Linked DNA regions of Canis lupus familiaris. The protein of the gene in region 1 purifies or fractionates together with the protein of each later gene. This does not show direct contact. Links are inferred from orthologs where the notes say so. Each region holds a gene or a part of one and is shown in the gene's direction. Other genes may lie near its edges.

What was found. Proteins that work in one complex are often made in the same cells at the same time.
Region 2: the proteins of AURKA (region 1) and ARFGAP1 purify together in Homo sapiens (affinity purification with mass spectrometry; 3 studies listed by BioGRID and IntAct, counting the BioPlex papers as one, with this or other methods). This does not show direct contact. The link is inferred for Canis lupus familiaris from reciprocal best matches to the Homo sapiens genes AURKA and ARFGAP1.
Region 3: the proteins of AURKA (region 1) and PPP6C purify together in Homo sapiens (affinity purification with mass spectrometry; 4 studies listed by BioGRID and IntAct, with this or other methods). This does not show direct contact. The link is inferred for Canis lupus familiaris from reciprocal best matches to the Homo sapiens genes AURKA and PPP6C.

Annotation. Positions count from the first base shown.
Region 1 is NC_049245.1:42,338,823-42,343,251, reverse strand, and holds part of AURKA (aurora kinase A), read left to right. Parts: intron 1-447; coding exon 448-639; intron 640-1,645; coding exon 1,646-1,784; intron 1,785-4,429. UniProt on the Homo sapiens protein: Mitotic serine/threonine kinase that contributes to the regulation of cell cycle progression.
Region 2 is NC_049245.1:47,839,555-47,843,983, forward strand, and holds part of ARFGAP1 (ADP-ribosylation factor GTPase-activating protein 1), read left to right. Parts: intron 1-1,187; coding exon 1,188-1,220; intron 1,221-2,065; coding exon 2,066-2,095; intron 2,096-2,913; coding exon 2,914-2,970; intron 2,971-3,444; coding exon 3,445-3,504; intron 3,505-4,091; coding exon 4,092-4,168; intron 4,169-4,429. UniProt on the Homo sapiens protein: GTPase-activating protein (GAP) for the ADP ribosylation factor 1 (ARF1). Involved in membrane trafficking and /or vesicle transport.
Region 3 is NC_049230.1:58,004,605-58,009,033, forward strand, and holds the end of PPP6C (serine/threonine-protein phosphatase 6 catalytic subunit), read left to right. Parts: intron 1-268; coding exon 269-517; 3' UTR 518-3,537; downstream 3,538-4,429.

The DNA of each region.
Region 1 (4,429 bases):
ATCAGAGTGATTCTCCACTCCAGAGAGTTAGCATGTCTGGGATGGAGGAAGAGGCTCTGGCTCGTTTGCAAGAGGCCCACAGAAGTTCTTAAGACTTCTCCCTCGAATTACTTCCCTAACCTTTCCTGTGGTCTTCAGTGGTGGTTGTGATAGGTCTGTAATTCAGAGTGCAGTACTGCCTTTGGACACTTAGCATTAGTGCTTCAGCTCTAAAAGTCCAGATTGTTCCTGGTCACTGACTCATACAGTTATTGGCAGGTGGAGGAGTGGAGGGTTTAATGTCTTTGGAGACACATATAGTAGTTATTGGCTTGGTTCTTGCCAAGGTACGTATTGAATATAACTTCAAATATAAAATTATTTATAGACATATCTACAACTTAATAATAAATTGTTAGAAAAAATTTGCTTTTTTCACATTTTAAAATGTTCAAATTTTTTTCCTAGAAGGCAATGGGCTTTGGAAGATTTTGAAATTGGTCGCCCACTGGGTAAAGGAAAGTTTGGTAATGTTTACTTGGCAAGGGAAAAACAAAGCAAGTTTATCCTGGCTATTAAAGTATTATTTAAAGCTCAACTGGAGAAAGCAGGAGTTGAACATCAGCTGAGAAGAGAAGTAGAAATACAGTCCCACCTTAGGTAAGTTTCTAGATTGACGTTCAAAAGAATGTGGTGCAGATCTTAGTTACTAAGAGTTAAATGATGCAAGGCCTGCTCTGTAGTATTGTGAAGAATGATTTAATTCACCATTTTTAAAAAGATTTATCTAGATGAGTGCTGTGGTCCTGAAAAGTCCCTTGGAGGTTTATGCTTTGTTAATGAAATATGTACATGAGCCCGTTTGTGTGTGTGTGCACGTGTGTGTGCCTGTGCATCTGTGCATGCATGTGCGCACATAATTAAGGGGAATGATACTTCTGAGTTCTAAGCAGAGGTTGCAGACTGGCAGCCTCTGCAGGTTGACTTTAGCCAGTGGGTCTTTTTCTTCTCTTCCTTCCCTTCCTTCCCATCCTTCCCATCCTTCCCATCCTTCCCTCCTCCCTCCCTCCCTCCCTCCCTCCCTTCCCTTCCTTCCTTCCTTCCTCTCTCTCTCTCTCTCTCTTTCTTTCGTGTTTTTTTCAGGTTTGAATCAGTCATAAATACTTACAGACCTGTCTGCATCAGGTTTAGATCCTTCCCTGGCAACAGCTGGTGGGGGCTGAAGGGCTGCTGTGCTGGCTGTGTTCTCAGCTGCATGAAGTTCTTGGCAGCCCACCTTTCCCACTGTTGCTGAACCCTGCTTTAAAGTTGTGTCTCCTAGTGTTTGGGGATCATACTGCTATGGGAATGTCATGCTTCTCTTTCTCTAATGTGCAGAGAACTAACATTTAGCTGAATTTTTACCCCTAAGAATAAAGATGGTCTAAGGGAAGGAAATAGTCTTAACCAAACCTGAAGTTCATTAATACTCTGCACTAACGTGCAGCTGTATTTAAGTTTTCCTAGTAGGTCTGGAGTTTCAGATGCTCAAATTGGGTGGGTGGATGTGGTGGGGAGGTCTGTGACCAGAACCAGTTTTCACTAGTTTTACATGAGGGGTTTCATCAGTAGTACATATTGTATCTTCTCCAAAACCAAGTATTAGAATATTGATCCTTTGTTGCAGGCATCCAAATATTCTTAGGCTGTATGGTTATTTCCATGATGCCACCAGAGTTTACCTAATTCTAGAATATGCACCTCTTGGAGCTGTCTACAGAGAACTTCAGAAACTGTCAAAGTTTGATGAGCAGAGAACTGCTACTGTAAGTTTTCATTTATTGTCCTGGCTAATTTTGTTTCCTCTATTCCTGTCCTATGTAGCAGTGTGCCTTTCATCATAGTCTAGTGGGTTTTGTCTTAAGAAAGACAGCTTAATGGGATCAGGTATTTGAATGAAAGACTCAGAATACCCTACTGCTAGCATACCTCCAGGTAAACTAAGGTACCAGGCGGGTTTGTTTCCACAGCTGTTTTCTGTGGAAATGTATATATATGAATAGTTGCCTTCTTTATTCTAAAATAAACTTTTGTTTTGTTTTGTTTTGGATTTAGAGAATCTGAAGATAGTGCAGATGTTTTTTCTCCTGTTCTTTGTCCATTAGTGTGGTCCCTCCTATAAACCTGGCTTGTCACTGGTGGTGTTGGCCTAGGTCACCTGGCTGAGGTCACTCCTGTTAGGTTTCTCCACTGGGACGTTACCCTTTCTTTCTTTCCATACTGCCCTCTTCTCAAGTGTATTGCTCTGTACTGCTGCCCATCCTGAAGGAGGAGTGGGGGCTATGTCCCACCTCTGCCTCTGTCTGCATCATCATTTAGAATTCTTCTGCATCAGAGATTTGTCTGTTCTCCCTTATTTACTCAGTCATTTATTACTGTGGACTCATGGATAGTTTGCTTTGAGTTATAATCTAATACTACTTTATTTTCCTGCTCAAATTGTTCCAGCTTTGGTCCTTGGGATCCCTTTCACATGGTCCTTGTTTTAGTTTTTTTTTTTTAGATTTATTAGACGTACAGGCAGGGGGAGGGCCTGAGGGAGAGGGAGAAGCAGGCTTCCCACTGAGCAGGAAGCCCGGTGCCATGTGGGGCTCCATCCTAGGACCCTGAGATCATGACCTGAGCTGAACGCAGACACTTAAATGAGCCACCCAGGCACACTTTTAGTTTTTTTGACCTATCTCATCACTGGGGGGGGGTGTGGTGTGTACTGCAGCATGTCCTTGGCATCTGGCCCTACAAGCTGCTAAACCTTTGATTTGCATATATCCCATCCCAGTTTTAGAACCTGCCATGTCTCCAAGGAGCCCTGGTATCTTTAATTGGAATACTAGAGACCAAGATTTGGGTGTTCTATATGCTCATTGCTTATCTGTAGCCTCCCATTCCAATCTTGAAAAACCTGGATTCTGTATCTACCAACCATTTAATTATTCAGTTCCAGTGTACATGTGTAGGGGTATTAGAATGATTAGCAGTTCCCCCCGTGGGGGAACAACTATGCATTTAAGGGTCATCTGTATCATTTCAGGGCGTGAGCATGGCAGCTCGTTTTTTATAACTGAATAATATTCTGCAGCGTAGATATAGTTCAGTTTATCCCTTCATCTATTGAATACATCTTGCTTGTTTCCGGTTATTGGTGATTATGAATAAAGCTGCTTTAAACATGCATGCGTGTTTTTGTGGGACATAAGTTTTCAACAGCTTTGAAAACTAGCTCGTGTGGTGTAGTAGCTTTGTAAGAAACTGTACACTGTCTTTCCAAAGTAGATGTGTCATCTTTGTGTTTCTCATCACCAGCAATTGGTATTGTCAATTTTTTGGATTTTAGTCTTTCTCATAGGTGTATATGGCACCTCATTCCGTTTTTTGTTTTTTGTTTTTTAATTTTATTTATTCATGAGAGGCACTGAGAGAGACAGAGACATAGACAGAGGGAGAAGCAGGCTCCCTGAGGGGAGTCCGATGTGGGACTCAATCCTAGGACCGCAGGATCATGACCTGAGCCAAAGGCCAAAGGCAGATGCTCAGCCACTGAACCAACCAGGTGCCCCGCCCGGCACCTCATTGTTTTATTTTTATTTTTTTATTTTATTTTATTTAAATTTTTATTTATTTATGATAGTCACACACACAGAGAGAGAGAGAGAGAGAGACAGAGACACAGGCAGAGGGAGAAGCAGGCTCCATGCACCGGGAGCCTGATGTGGGATTCGATCCCGGGTCTCCAGGATCGCGCCCTGGGCCAAAGGCAGGCGCTAAACCGCTGCGCCACCCAGGGTTCCCTCATTGTTTTAATTTGCAGTTCTCTACTGACAATGTGATGAGCATCTTTTCATGTGCTTATTTGCCATGTGTATATCATCTTTGTGGTGTCTGTTCAGCTTTTTGCCCATTTTCAATTGGGATTTGGGTCATCTCTAGTTTTAAAGAGTTCTTGTATATTTTGGATACAAGTCTTTTATCGCATGTGTTTTATAAAGGTTTGCTCCCTGCCTGTGCCTTATCTTTTCATTCTATTTCCTGTATCTAAAAGTCCAACATAATCAGGTTTTTGTGTTTTCCCCCCCTCCTATGGATAGTGCTTCTTTATCTGAATGAAATTATTTGTTTGAAGAAGAGTCTTTGGGCAGTTTTGTTGTTGTTGTTGAATGGGCAGATGATTGGTTGCTTTCTTTCTTTATTTTTTAAATACTTTATTTAATTATGAGAGGCAGGGATCCCTGGGTGGCGCAGCGGTTTGGCGCCTGCCTTTGGCCCGGGGCGCGATCCTGGAGACCCGGGATCAAATCCCATGTCAGGCTCCCAGCATGAAGCCTGCTTCTCCCTCTGCCTGTGTCTCTGCCTCTCTGTCTCTCTCTGTGTGACTATCATGAATAAATAAATAAAATCTTTAAAAAAAAAAATT
Region 2 (4,429 bases), about 5.5 Mb from region 1:
GCCGGCCCCTCACAGGCGGTGCTGTCTGGGGTCTGGGGGCAGAGAAGGGTCTGCAGGGCGCTCCACGAGGAGTGGGGGGCGTTCCCGGCCCCCAGGCGTGCTCTCGGGTCCCCGAGGCCACGGCCAGTCTCAGGGCCCGCCGTTGGCTGCTTTAGCAGCAGGCACCCACCCGCCCGCCCATCAGGGTGAGCTGTGTGCAGAGGCCAGCCGGCTCTGGAAGGGGTGCCATGCCAAGGCACCGCATGTCGTGAGCCCTGCGGGCAGAGGGGTCCCGCCAGCCCTCCAGCGCCTGTTGCTGGGCACAGAGCAGGGTTCGTCTGACTTTCCTCTCAGCCCTGCCTGCTCCTCCGCCCAAGCGCGGGAGGGTTGGGGATTTTGTCAGGACACGCAGGTGGACAGTGGCCTTGGGCTTAGAAAGGAACAGGCCAGAAACCTTTTGGGGCCATCACCCTGGGGGGTACTGGGGGGTCTGGCAGGTGTGGCCTTGGTAAGGAAGGTGCCCTGGAGGACGGAGAGCCCAGGGCAGGGTCGAGGGGCTGCGTGGCACGCAGGACCGGGACAGGAATGTTCCGAGAGCCAGGAGACCGTGGGCCAGACGGTGCCTGCCGTCGCGTGACCCGCAGGAGCCACAGGGCTGGTCCTGGGCTGGGACGAAGGCCCCACGGACACTGTGCTGCCCGTGGGTGCATGTGCCCTGCATCCTCCCCTGTCCGGCCCGGGAGGAGCCTCGAGGGGCAGCAGGCCCTGTGGCACCGCAGCTTTGGCTCGTGGCCTCTGGAGGGCTACAGCCGGGAGGTCCAGGTGCCTTCCAGCTGGAACGCCTGGCCAGGCCTTTTCCTTCTTTGTAGTGAACGTGGTTGGGGGTGGGGGTGCTGCGGGGAGCTGTGGGACGGGGCCGCACTGGGTGCCAAGTAGGTGCACGGTCTGGGCCTCAGGAACACCCATAGATGCCGGGGCTGGGGGGGCCGCCCCTGCCATGGGCCTGCTCCCCCCGGCCTGTGTGCTGCGGGCTTGCCCCTCCCGACGGCCTCCCTCCCTCCGGGCCTGGCCTAGTGGGCAGCTTTGCTGGGCCCCTGGGGGCGTGGCTGACGGGACAGGCCTGGACCGGGCATTTGTCGAGGGTGGGAAGCGCAGCCTGGGGCCGGGCGTCAGGACAGGCGAGCTGGAAATCCTGTGTCTCTTTCCAGGCAACCAAATTCGGATCTCAAGCAAGTCAGAAGGTAACAAAGGAAGCTTCTGCGTTTTGTGTTGCTAAAATTTCTAGTGTGACGTCTGGTTGGCGTCTGGACGCTGCCCAGGCTGCCGTCATCGGGCCCTGTGCTTGGAGAGGGGACGTTTCTGCAGCTCAGGCCTGTGCTCTCGGACTTGTGCCCCGGCGCCTGCGGGTTTAGCAGGTGGGGTGGGAGGCTGCGTCTGTCGGGGCCTGCGGGGCAAGGCCAGGGTCCCCTGTCCATCCTTGCCTGGGCACCCGGCCGGAGGGACGGCTCCTGTGTGGTTCCTGCCCGCGGGGGGGAGGGAAGCCTGGTAGGGCCGAGGGCCGTGGGCCATGGGGCAGCCCCTCCTTGGGGCGGTGGGTCTGGGTTCTGCGGAAATACCTTGGTTCCCCGTTAGTTTCTCACTGTGAGTGGTGGTTTGGGGTGGTTGGTATTTGTCTTTTTTTTCCAATCTTGGTTGGTGGCCCTGCAGTCCCCAGGTGGTGCCAGGACGCTGGACTGCCTGTCCCCCGGTGTGGGGGTTAGGACTCGGGCCGGAGGCAGCAGCCCTGCAGGCTGTCCCAGGAGGGAGGGCAGTCGCTCTCCGTGTGTGGTGCGCCCGCTTTGGGGTTCCTGACTTGCTCACGTGGTTCTGGAAGTTGTACCTCAGAGTAGAAAGCAGCGAGGGTCGGTGGCAGTAGGTGGGCACCGAGGGCACTCTTGAGGACGCCCGCTGGGGTGACGCAACCAGAACGTGAGGCTGATTAAGGTGTCTGGAGGTGCTTCCTTGTTGCTCGTGCGCACTCTGCCTCTCACTCTCTCCCTCTCCCCCCCTCCCCGCCCCAACCCGCTCCCTTGCTATCTGGGTAAAGTTTTGGGGCACCAAGCAGCAGCCCGAGCTGGTAAGGCGCCACGTCCGTTCTCGTGCATGCCTCCCCCGTTCTCTGTGCTGCCCACATGCTTTGCCCTGAGCGTTCCTGGACCGTGGCCTGTGTGTGTCCTTGCTTACGTGTGCTCGCCCTCGGAGCTTCTCACCAACCTGCTGGGGCCGGGGCCAGGGGCACTGCTCCTGTTGGGGTGCCGGGAGCTGCTTGGCAGGATTTTCATTTCATGACCTCATCACTTCCTGCTAAGTACGCAGAGGGGGTGTCATTGCAGCGGTGAGGTGCTGACGCTGTGCGCTTGCCCTGTGCCTCGAGGCTGCTGTTACTTGGTGCTCTCCCTCTTAGCTGCCCCATCGTCCCGCTGCCGCCCCACCCACCTTGGCTCATCCTCTGGCTCTGTCCCCTTCCCTCTGGGTCAGGTGGCCGCTGGAGGGCAGGTGGGCTTCAACCTCATCCAGTGACCAGAGGTGCACCTGCCTGCACTCCAGCTGAGGGGTAGCATGTGACCTGCTGCAGCACGTGGGCCGTCCTGGGGATGGGACTGCGTGGCTCTGATGGGAAGACCCACAGGTGGCCGCTGTGTGGGACGGACTCCCGAGGCCTTGCTGCCACTCTGGGCCTCTTCCCTCCAGAGCGCGGAGGGCTGGGGCAGTGGTCTCTGGCCGCCCCACCGCCACGGTGCCTGCGGGCCACTTCCGTGCAGCTGCCTCGGGCGCCGCAGCTGCCATGACAGTGGGGTGGGGGCCTCCTGGGTGCTGGGCTCGTGGCCACTGTGCCGACCAGTGTCCTGGGTGACACGCTGCCCGAGCTCACCTGACTTGCCTCTCATCAAACAGGCTTCGGAGCTGGGCCACAGCCTGAACGAGAACGTTCTCAAACCTGCGCAGGAGAAGGTAACGCCCCCGACGCCCGGTGTCCCTTGTCCACCCCCTGAGGCCCTCATTCCAGGGGAGCAGCGGGTGCTGGGGGGCTTTGTCCAGCAGTTCCAACTCCGTCCATTGGGCCCCCATCCCTGGGCTCTGTGAGGCCCAGCCTTGCGCTCCGTTCCTCAGGGTGGGCTGGGTGGGCAGCGCGGAGGTGGCTGACGGCCAGGGAGCCCCCCAAGCAGGCTGGGGCCCGGGGGCGGTGCCGACCTGTCCGCAGGACATTGTGGCTGACCCAGAGGCCCTCCGGGAGGATGCCGCGTTACAGCAGCCTGGGCACAGTCGGTGGCCCCGGCCCCTTCACGCGTGGGGAGGGGGCTGCCCGGGGGAGACGTCGCACACAGCTGCCGCCACGGCTCTTTCCGGCGTGCACTGTCCTTGGTCAGAGACGGCGACGATGGGCTCTGTGCCCCTGGGCTGATGGCAGTGTTTTAACCCACGCAGGTGAAAGAGGGAAAGATTTTTGATGATGTGTCCAGTGGGGTCTCTCAGTTGGCGTCCAAGGTAGGGCAAGCCCTGGAGCTTGGGCGCAGCTGGAAGCCAGTCTCCACATTCCAGGGCGCCTTGGCCAAGAGCAGGAGGGCCCTCCGCGCCCCACACGCTCCCGCAGCCTGGGTGCCCGCCAGGTGCCCGCTGGGCGGTGAGGCGGCTCAGCTGAGCGCTCCGGTGCCGGCTGCCCGAGGAATGTGGACACAGCTTGGTGGGGGGCCCTGTCAGGTCTGCTAACTTGCTTCTTTTCCTTCTGCCTTCGTTGTGCCGCCGCTGCCCTGCCCCGGTGAGTGCCATCTGACGGGCCGGGGCCCCGCCGTCTTCTAGGCGGGTTGGGGTGTGCATGGCCCCCCTCCCCAGCCTGCCGCAGGGGCTTTGCTTGCATGCTGTTTCCTCGAGCTGAGCACTAGGGCCTCCCGCCGCCACCACTGTGTGCACACCGGGCGTCCCCTGGACCGTTCCTGTCGGGAGGAGCATACGAAGGCCTCGGGCCTGAGCCCTGCTGTTCTGCTCGGGTCTCTAAGCTTTGCCGGGACCTTGAGCGGGACCATGTGTGCGTTGTGAGGACCCACCCTGAGCAGCCACCTCCCGTCCCCTTCCAGGTCCAGGGGGTCGGCAGTAGAGGATGGCGGGACGTCACCACCTTTTTTTCTGGGAGAGCGGAGGACACGTTGGACAGGTATGCTGGTCCCCCATCCATGCCCTCGTGCCCTGGGTTCCTTCCCACAAGGTCTCTGAGAGGCATTCGGCATCCCCGCTGGCGGACAGGCCTGTCACCCCCAGGGGCGGCTCCCAGAACCCTAGAGATACTGACCTTGTGGCTACACCTGCCGCTCGGGCCTAGAGACGAGAGGCGCCAGCGCTGATCCCACTGTCTCCCGTCTTGGGCTGGTGGGGCCGGCAGGGGCCCCGCAGCAACCCTGTCCCTGCCCTCATTGTC
Region 3 (4,429 bases), on another chromosome or scaffold:
TTTTTTTGAGAGGGAGGGGGAGAGCAGAGAGAGAGGAAGGAAAGAGAGAATCTTAAGCAGGCTCCATGCCCAGTGTGGAGCCAGACATGGGGCTCGATCTCACAACCTTAAGATCATGACCTGAGCCAAAATCAAGAGTTGGGTGCTCCTGAGCTACCCAGGAGCCCCAGACTGTATTTAAATATTATTTTCTTACTTATTTTATATATAAATATAACATGATTCTTTTTATGTGCTAGATATTTAACAAAACCTTTCTGACTTGCAGTTTGTTCATATCAACAACTTAAAACTCATCTGCAGAGCACACCAACTAGTGCACGAAGGCTATAAATTTATGTTTGATGAGAAGCTGGTAACAGTATGGTCTGCTCCTAATTACTGCTATCGTTGTGGAAATATCGCTTCGATCATGGTCTTCAAAGATGTAAATACAAGAGAACCAAAGTTATTCCGGGCAGTTCCAGATTCAGAACGTGTTATTCCTCCCAGAACGACGACGCCGTATTTTCTTTGAGGCCTTCGCCCATCCTGCTGACCCATTTTTCTTCCTTCTTCATACCCCAACTTTCGTGTATTACCCTCTACAATATACTTTTTATTGAGCACTTTGCTGCTGAAATGCTGCCTCTTGCCTTTTTTTTAATTTTAAATTATCTAAATTTATTGTTTGTTATGGTGTCTATAGCAATGTTTTCCTATCAATTTTCTCCCCTATCCCATCCCCACTTTGGACTCATTTGAGAAGACTTGAGAAATGTCTTAATACTCACACTGCTGCATGTAGCTCTTGCTTATTTACTGGTCTGGGGGAAACAGGATGTGTCTCCTCTTTTTAAAAAGCCAATTGACAGAACAGACTACACCGAAATGCTCCTCCTTTTGTATCATTCAGCCTTTTGTTTTAGTTTGGTAAGTTTTAAGAAATTTCAGCAGCAAAGTTGTTATTCAGTGGGCACGATGGACTGCAAATGCCTCGAGTTATGTATACCTGTCCCAGCTGTAAACTTCATTGTCCTTTGTTGGATGATATTTTAAGTGGATATAAAATAAATTGGTCTAAAGGGCTGCCCTCCTTGTTGTGTTTTTAAATTTTAGTTAAAACTGCTACAGCTTATGACTTTGTACAGTAAGATAATTGTATCGATCTTTTTTCAGATTCCTTGTATTTTTTAATAAAGTAATCTTAAACCCAGATAGGTTAAAGTATTAGAAATTTTAAACAGCTTACATTGTTAGTTTAAAGTTATTCTCCCCTCCTCCCCCCCAGTCAGAGTTTTTGACCCTTTGGTTATTGAGTTTAAAACTTCAACTGAAATTCAATACTATTTATTAAAAAAAAAAAAAATTACTAAACTGTGCCTAAAGAACATAACTGCCATATTAATGTTTTGGTTTATATTCTCTATAGTAATAGAAAAACATTTAATACTTGTAATGCTGATGTGTTCATTTGATACTAGTTGAGTAAAATGTGATTGATGCAGTTTACAATCTATCATGCATATCATTAAGTAAAATCTGTGTACTTTTCAGTAGGAATCATTCTCCTCTTGATGTAACACTTGACCTTAACTTTTAGAAAGTGTTCAATTTTTAACTGCAACTGGAAAGGTTGAAAAGTCAGGACTCTTGTATTTTGTGAACTGTAATTTGAAGCAAATTTTAAAAAGTGTAGAAAGAAACAAATTGTCCTTTTTTGTAAAGGTCTGTGGTACCATGTTTCGGCTTTGTGTAAGTAATTTAAATATCCAAAGGGTGTGATGATCAGTTCTTTATATGCAACTGTCCACTTAATAAGGACAAGTGTTCCAGTGTCTCTTATGACTGTGGTCATAAATGATGTTGGAATTTACTATTTTGTGAAATAGTTGGTATCCCTTTACTACTATAATTAATTTTTGTCATTCCAGGAAATCTTTGTGAAGCCAGCCAATTAATAAAGCACTTTAGTATCTGTTCAGGTAGTTTTGAAAACCAACTTTTCCCCTTCAGGATAAGAACTTCCAGGTTACCTAAAAATGCAATAAAAATCTTTATAATCTAAGCTTCTTGGCACATAATTTTTCATCAGGGTTTTTCTTTTATTAAATGAGCACAATAATATTTTTATTTTTATTTTCTTTTTTTGCCATAACCACCTAGCTCCTTGTTTAGTTTTTAATTGTATAGCTATATGAAAGAAGTGGCTAAGACATTTGCTGCACACACTTGAACTGTTGGGTCAGTAGCTTTGTGTTACTGCCCTGACCCCAGTGTAATTCAGGGGGAAAGGTATTTTTATCTTACAGGGATATGTAGCTATGTATTTTACTAATTGTGAAACACTGGAAATTAATGATGCAGACAACTTGGTGTAGTCTTTGAACAGCTCTCTGCAGTGTTTTTTTCTGTTACCATAAATTGTATTTAAGTGCTTGCTCTCCTCTGCTTCTAAGTTGTACCAATAAAATCGGTAACCTCAGCCCTCCCTTCCCATTTGACACTCCTTAGCTTAGATTGATGTAGTTGTTTTAGTTATCCCTGTAATGTGACCTTTATTTTTAAGTCATGGTGTACTGCATTTGTTTGTCACTAGTTGGGCATGTGCCAATAATATTTTGTCCATTCCTTAATTGCCATCTCTATTTTGTCTGATTTTTTTTCTCTTCAGCTGAATAACGGCTTTTTTGCATGAAAAAAAGAAGTTTTTACGATTAGACATGTAAAGGGAAGAGAGAGTGAATGTATTGGACTTTGTAAGCCTAAAAGGAATATTTGGATTTAATAAATAAGGGCTATGTACGATATAGAGTAATCATGTAGTGGAAGATACTTGCCAGTCATAGATTTGTAGGCAGGAGGATCTGTTACTCCCTGTATCTAGGCTGAATGTAAAATCCTTTATGTTGTATTAATGGGGGTAATAACTATTTTTATTTGCTGATGATATACTTGGTTTCTAATAAAGTGTCCTAGGCTCTAGTGAGAACTGTCTACTTTTAATTGCCAATTACTCCCTTTCCCCTTTTCCTGATATGCACTTGGCTAGCTTTTTATATATAGGTTAATGCTTTTTCCTGAAACATCTCACTACTTTAAATGTGTTCATTTGGGTGTGATCCTAAAAAGTCTGCATCAAGAGCACATCTAATATGCAATCTGCATCAGCTCCTAACATCTGGATGACCAGAACTGTTGGAAGATTGTGACGTCTTAAACCCTGGGTTTTGCTTTTGAAATAAGGTTTGAAATACTATTCTTTGCATTAAGATTTGTGTGTGTTTGCTTTGTAAGCCTAGCACCAGGTTTTGAAAATGCCTGTATTGCGAAAGCAAATCCAAACTCTTTCTGAGCCTCTTTCGTTGTCAGAAATAGAATTGCTTTCCATCAGCCTCCAGAAAATTGTGTACCTGGAGTTGAAGAGATTTAACAGCACGAATCCAGATTTTTAAATGTAATTGTTTTTTAAATGCTAATGTTTGTAAAGCACCTTCAGTTCCTTGGATGAAAGGTGCTATATCCTCTCAGTGTAAATTAATAAAAAGATTATAGGAAGTTTGTCAGAAAATTTTATCTAATGCATAGTCTGTAGCATGTCCCGACAAAAAGTTAGCATTTTATATAACACAATTTAAATTAAAAAAAAATGCTTATTCCTTCACTTGGTTGCTTGACTGGTAAACAGAAATGAAACTTTTTATTGTTCTGCATTTAACTTTGAACTAAGTGTCCCAGTTCTTTATTTTTTTATTTTTTATTTTTTTAAAGAATTTATTTATTCATGAGAGACACAGAGAGAGAGGCAGAGACACAGGCAGAGGGAGAAGCAGGCTCCATGCAGGGAGCCCGACGTGGGACTCGATCCTGGGTCTCCAGGGTCACACCCTGGACCGAAGGCAGGCGCTAAACCGCTGAGCCACCCAGGGATCCCCTTTAAAGGCAATATTCATTATTGTGGCCTGGACCGAGTTTCCAGAACCATGCATCATGAGATCATCACAACTCTTTCAATTGTATGTTTATAGTCTGCATTCATGTTCATGAAGTATACAGTAGTAAGATACCAAAAAGCATTTTGGAAAGTCCCGTAGTGTGGTGCCAGACACAGTAGATTCCTGGGGAATGTTTGTTCCTTATTGCCGTCTTCTTAATTTTCTATTTCCTTATCAATCAATTGGTGATTGCCTTTCTTACCTTCATGAGAGATTATGCTGGCTTAGATCACTCAAATATTTCCTTTATTCAAACTGCATGAAATTTGTGAAGATTTTTTTTGTATCAACAAAAATATTACATAAGTATATTCCACTCAATCCCTGGACACCCATTATTCTCAGCACTCTGCTTTTGTGTATAAACGGAAATGAGATATAAAAGACTACATAGAGGGATCCCTGGGTGGCGCAGCGGTTTGGCGCCTGCCTTTGGCCCAGGGCGCGATCCTGGA